2 linked regions of the Macaca mulatta genome follow. The protein of the gene in region 2 interacts with the protein of the main gene of each other region in a pairwise test. Links are inferred from orthologs where the notes say so. Each region holds a gene or a part of one and is shown on either strand. Other genes may lie near its edges.

Region 1 (3,655 bases), on a different chromosome or scaffold from region 2:
TTTTCTCATACTCATTAGTAAATTCTCCAGGATATTACTCAGACTTAGAGAATTAATTTGCCTCTTTATATTAAAACCCCCAATTTAAGGACTTCTCTAGATGAACAGTGACTTGGGTAAGTGGTTTGAGCAAGGATCCCGCTAATTAGACTTTGAGACCTACTAGATTACAGGTGGAAGAAGGTTCCCTGTCCTTTGTGGGCCATGCTAAGGCGTCTTCATGGGCTGCTTGACACAGGTGAAGTGCCAATGACAGCACTCTGGGTGGGGGTTTCCTGAACTGTCACCATCTGCTGCTTGGCCTCCAGAGTCAAAGCCAGAGCGGTGAGCCAGCCAGGTACAGGCTTAGAGCTAAGATTCGTAATTCTGCTCCTCAAAGAGGCGATCAGTACAGGGGAGTTCCTCACACACAAGGGAGAGAGACGCGGGCGGCAGGAGGGCGTGGGTGAGTGATGTCTGCAGTTGCGAAGTGCCGCTGTTTTCAGTGAATTCTGTTTCTTTTGAATATACTGAACGTTCTAGCCACCTCTTAATTCCTTCTTTAACGTAAGTTTCATATGCCCCTTTCAGAACATGGATATATTTCTTTCTTTATCTGGCTCTGCTTTTTAAAGAATGCAACCAGGGTTTTAAAATGAAAGGTTGCATGACAGTGACTTGCTTACTGCTCCACTTCACTTGGGGGCAGCCCACAGGCCACTACCTGTAGTTGAAAAGGATGCCTGGTGGAAGTAGCTTGTCACCAGCAAAGGAAGGCATGGATTGGAACATCTGAGAAAGAAGTAGCCTTTAGAGGATGATATCCCAGATTTGTGTGTGTTGACCGAATATTTACGAGCGCTGCACCCTAGCAGTTCTCTGTCTCTGTGGAGTTACCCTGTACTTCAGGAAAAAATGGTTTTCTTTTCCTTTTTGTTAGTTGTATTAAAGCAGAGTTTAACCTAATATCACTGAGTAAATATTACGATGAGCCTATTTTTGTTCCCAGAAACACGGAATAATCCTAAATTCAGAAATAGCTACCAATGGAGAGACTTCTGACACTCTCAATAATGTTGGATACCAAGGTCCTACCAAGATGACGAAAGCAGAGTTAAATGCCCTCAAGTCGACAGGGGATGGGACCCTAGGTAAGTATTTGCTTTCCTTCGGCTTCTTCCGCCTTTCCACTCAGCATTGGTTCACCCTCCATGCGCTGTTGGGGTTGGAGCCACTGTCACTGCTGGGTTAACAGTCACCGGCATGCCATTTGTTTCATCACTTCATGGTAATTTCCTTACCACCGGTGTGGTCATCCACGTGTTGTCTGGCATGCATCTCTGTGTCGTGCACCATCAGTGGCTCAAGTATATCTTTTCTTTTGCTGCTCAAAGCTACCAAGCAAGACTGTGAAGGCAAGGAAAGTGGTCTCAAAATTAAGTAACAATGTGGAGAGTACTATTTGGTTTTCCTCAGACACATATATATCTGTACATATAAAGTGTGGCTTTTTAAACTGATTCTGTGACAGAATTATCAAAAGATCAGAATAGTCGAGGCTGTCAAGTCAGTAAGTTGGCCATATTTGCAAGCCAACCTCGACATCCTGGAAAGCATTCAGCGTTTTGAGGGCACGGGGTGCCTGTGGACAGCAGGTCCATCTGTGTTGCCGTTTTCAAGCCACGCTCGAGGCGAGCGGGCGGCCGTGGTAGGGGTGTAGCCGTGCTGAGAGTCTGAGTATGCCCACTTTGTCAGAGGAGATCCTCCTTTGTATGCCATGTGTTTGCTTCTGAAAGAATATAAAACTGGGGAATCCAGTAGATTAGAGGAGTATCTTATACCATTTTCAATGACCTGATTTGTCATAATTTGTCATAAGAGTTGGCTTTGGGAGGAACCTTCAGATTCTGGCGTGCAACCTGAAGTTGCAGCATGCAAGTGAGGCCTCATCTGTCACTGGTCACCCTCTGCATTCCAGTGTTTCACAAGGAGGCTGGAATAAGGTCAGGGTCCATGACTTTTCGTTTTAATTTAGAAACTTTCATCTTACTTCTTTTTATTTATGGAAACGTAGACACCTCCAGGCCCCATCTTCTCAGGACTTGTATTCCAGGGAGATACCTCATTCATTATCTTTATGACTATTAAAGAAACACAGCTCTTTTCAATTGTGTAAAAAAGTTGTGGCCAAGTGCAGTGGCTCACACTTCTAATCCCAATGCTGCAGGTGCCAAGACTGGAGGATCATTTGAGACCAGGAATTCCAGGCCAGCCTGGCAACATAGCAAGATTCCATCTCTAGATATGTATATAATTGTTGAAAAAAGATAAATAAATTAATTTCCATCATACCTTTATATGAGCTACCCAAACAGCTAGGAATTTGATTATGCTGCTGTTACTAAATCTTTGATAACCATTGTGAGATGTTTAAAGAACCAGAAATGTCAGTTTTGAAAGTGGCCTTCAAATGACTTTTGATCACACATTCCTTCGGTAAATAATTGTAGGAACTTTCCAATATATATGTTTATTTTAAATCTATATATGTATACTATTTCATTAGTATAAAATGTACATTATAAAGCATATAAAAACATATGCAAAGAAGTTTTAGAGTAAAACTCTAAATAGAATTCCTAATATTTCCTCCATTTTCCCTGGGATACGGGCACCCCACTATGGAGACCACTGGGCTATAAAATTATCTAGCTTTGACTTTCAGTAACATAGTACTATATCTAATCTGCTGCGGTTTTGTTTGGAGAATCCAAAAATTCCAAAACAGTTTGATGTTCTTTAGACGATGAATAATTTATTTAATTTAGTGGTCGTCTTGATCTTTCAACATTTGCCTCCTGCTGGTCCTCTCTCCCTAGTCCCTTAGGGAATGGAGCAGAGGTATCAGGGCACGGACACAGGGTGTTTTCTCAGGAAGACAATGGTTGAGTGGCAGAAGCTAGATTTCTTTTCATATGAGCTATTTCAAAAGCATCTTCCTTGAGATTGACCCTGAGGCTGCATTTCTAAAAGTGCACTGAATATTCTTTGAAAAAATTACTTGCAAGCTGCTTTTAGGGCTGTGTGACATGCAGTGCAGTTTGACAGCTGCAAAAATACAAGTTGTCAAGTTGTGTGTTGAGAAGTGAGAGTGGGGAATTGCACCTTCAGTGCGTTCCTAAACCCATCATTGTGGATTGTTTGGCTGCCTGATCCAGAGTTCTTTCTATTTGTCAAAACTTAACTTCACCTTTAAAAATCTGTCCACACAAGATGGCACCAGCAGCCACTCTGGCCTTTGATGTGGTGGCAGTGGCCCTCACTGACCCAAAATTTACTAATGCAACTGCTGCTTTGCCGCACAGAACTGGCAAAGGCTTGTTTCTCATGACTCTTTGATGACTCTCTTTAGGAATAGGGGTGGGTGGGATTTAGAACATGTATTTACATTCTAATGTAAATTATGTGGCCGCCACATCATGGGGTCCCTTCAATTTTCTCAATGGTCTTTTAGGAAGAGCCAGTGAAGTGGAGGTGAAAAATGAAATCGTGGCGAATGTGGGGAAAAGAGAAATCTTGCACAATACTGAGAAAGAACAACACACAGAGGACACAGTGAAAGATTGTGTGGACATAGAGGTATTCCCTGCTGGAGAGAATACCGAGGACCAGAAAT
Region 2 (2,618 bases):
CGCGAGCCCGAGGCCAGGCGGAGGGGTGTGGTGGGGCCCAGACCCAGAGAAGGTTAGGCTCCTGAGGGGAAGGTGGGGGTCCAGGGAGCTGCCCCTAACACTTCCACATCCCCAGGTGGTACGCATGACGCAGCAGCAGGAGAACCCCAAGTTTCTGTCCCATTTCAAGAGGAAGTTCATCATCCACCGGGGCAAGAGGAAGGCGGCCCAGGGCGCCCAGCAGCCCAGCCTCTACCAGATCCGCACCAACGGCAGCGCCCTCTGCACCCGGTGCCTGGCTGGGGGAGGACACAGTGGCGAGCAGGGGTCAGGGAACCAGGCCTGACGCCTTGCTGATGCCCCATCCCTTCCACAGGTGCATCCAGATCAACACTGACTCCAGTCTTCTCAACTCCGAGTTCTGCTTCATCCTCAAGGTGGGGTTGTGGGTGTGAGCCAGGGCTCCGTGGACCAAGGGGTGGGGTGTTTGGGCGCTGAGTCAGCTGCAAACACCCCCACCCCCACCCCTGCACACTCCCCAGGTTCCCTTTGAGAGTGACGACAACCAGGGCATCGTGTATGCCTGGGTGGGCCGGGCATCAGACCCTGACGAAGCCAAGTTGGCAGAAGACATCCTGAACACCATGTTTGACACCTCCTACAGCAAGCAGGTCAGGAGGCGGGCGGGCGGGCGGGCGGGCAGGCGGGCGGGCAGGTCAGGCGGCAGGCGGGCGGGCAGGTCAGGAGGCGGGCGGGCAGGTCAGGAGGCGGGCGGGCAGGCGGGCGGGCAGGTCAGGAGGCGGGCGGGCAGGCGGGCGGGCAGGTCAGGAGGTGGGCGGGCAGGTCAGGAGGCGGGCGGGCAGGTCAGGAGGCGGGCGGGCAGGCGGGCGGGCAGGTCAGGAGGCGGGCGGGCAGGCGGGCGGGCAGGTCAGGAGGCGGGCGGGCAGGTCAGGAGGCAGGCGGGCGGGTGGGCAGGCGGGCGGGCAGGTCAGGAGGCGGGCGGGCAGGCGGGCGGGCGCACACAGGGGAGCCAGGGCAGGCAGGGGCCCTGGGCTGGACTGGCCTTTCCCGCAGGTTATCAACGAAGGCGAGGAGCCTGAGAACTTCTTCTGGGTGGGCATTGGGGCACAGAAGCCCTATGACGACGATGCCGAGTACATGAAGCACACACGGCTCTTCCGGTGAGGCCAGGGCCCCGACCCTCCCCTCGGTCCTGGCACTGCTGCTTATGACCTCTGGCCTCACCTTGACCCTTGATTCCCAGGTGCTCCAACGAGAAGGGCTACTTCGCAGTGACTGAGAAATGCTCCGATTTTTGTCAAGATGACCTGGCAGATGATGACATCATGTTGCTAGACAACGGTCAAGAGGTGCGATGTTGCCACTGGCCCTGCCCATCTGAGGCGGCGCCCATAGACTTATAAATGGGAAATTTGGGGCCAGGAGCAAGGGGGTGTTCCCAGGCGCCCGTGCAACCGTATCTCCTCTGCTGCCCCCACAGGTCTACATGTGGGTGGGGACCCAGACTAGCCAGGTGGAGATCAAGCTGAGCCTGAAGGCCTGCCAGGTAAGGTGGGTGGAGGGAGGGCCGAGGTGGGCCTGTGGGCAGGGCGGGGTCATCACCCAAGGCTCGCTGTCCCCTTGCCAGGTGTATATCCAGCACATTCGGTCCAAGGAACATGAGCGGCCGCGCCGGCTGCGCCTGGTCCGCAAGGGCAACGAGCAGCACGCCTTTACCCGCTGCTTCCATGCCTGGAGTGCCTTCCGCAAGACCCTGGCCTAAGACAGGCTGGCACAGCCCCAGGCTTGGTAAGGAAGAGGAAGGGGCCCTCATCCACTGTCTGCTAGCAAAGAATATACTGAGGTGACAACGCCTGCTCCAGCCACGTCCAGTGTCACAGTCCCCAGTAGCCTCAAGCAGCACCAATGGGGATGACCCTGACAGGTGCCCTTAGGGGTCTGGGAAATCCGACTCCCTCCACAGTGTGAGCACGTGTGAAACCCCCTCACTTTTCTGCCAGGGATAAAGCAGATGTGGCTGCCCTTTAAGAGATATTAAATGCTTTTATTTTCAATATTAAAAATCAGTATTTTTAATATTAAAATGGCGCTAATTTTAACAAAATAACAGAAAAAAACCCCAAGGTACAATCTACAGGGAAACTCATCTTGGGCCCCCCACCCCCCCCAACACACACACCTGACTAGGCCCCAGCTGTGGATGCCCAGCAGAGCTCCCAGTCACATCCACACTCAGACACACACACTCATGACAGGCTGGGGACTGGCCCAGGACCAGGTACCAAAATAGTTTTAGAAACAACCGTCCAGCCCAGGCGCTAGAAAAATACTCTTTGCAAAGTGAGGGGGAAGGACGGTGTGTGGAGTGGGAGGTGGCACAAGGTGCTGGGCCCCACCTGTCCTCTTCCCTAGGCAGTGGGCCCCCCCAGGGCAGCCAAATGCCTGCAGGAGGGCTCAGTTCTGGCCCAAGTCCCAGGCCCACACCCTGGGGCTGGTGCTGCTCCAGGGCCCAGGGTCAGGCAGGACAGGACAGCAGGTCCCAGTGGAGCCTACAGGTTAGCAGGCGTGGGTCTATGTTAAGGGGCCAGGCAGGTGCCAGGGATCCAGCACTCCAGCTC

Evidence for each region.
Region 1: the proteins of FLII (region 2) and LRRFIP1 interact in binary tests that used the Homo sapiens proteins (3 or more experiments, as listed by UniProt). The link is inferred for Macaca mulatta from reciprocal best matches to the Homo sapiens genes FLII and LRRFIP1.

Annotation. Positions count from the first base shown.
Region 1 is NC_133417.1:143,002,271-143,005,925, forward strand, and holds part of LRRFIP1 (leucine-rich repeat flightless-interacting protein 1), read left to right. Parts: intron 1-988; coding exon 989-1,130; intron 1,131-3,493; coding exon 3,494-3,655.
Region 2 is NC_133421.1:19,829,092-19,831,709, reverse strand, and holds the end of FLII (protein flightless-1 homolog), read left to right. Parts: intron 1-115; coding exon 116-270; intron 271-355; coding exon 356-416; intron 417-521; coding exon 522-650; intron 651-1,053; coding exon 1,054-1,160; intron 1,161-1,243; coding exon 1,244-1,349; intron 1,350-1,480; coding exon 1,481-1,546; intron 1,547-1,627; coding exon 1,628-1,762; 3' UTR 1,763-2,063; downstream 2,064-2,618. UniProt on the Homo sapiens protein: Is a regulator of actin polymerization, required for proper myofibril organization and regulation of the length of sarcomeric thin filaments. It also plays a role in the assembly of cardiomyocyte cell adhesion complexes.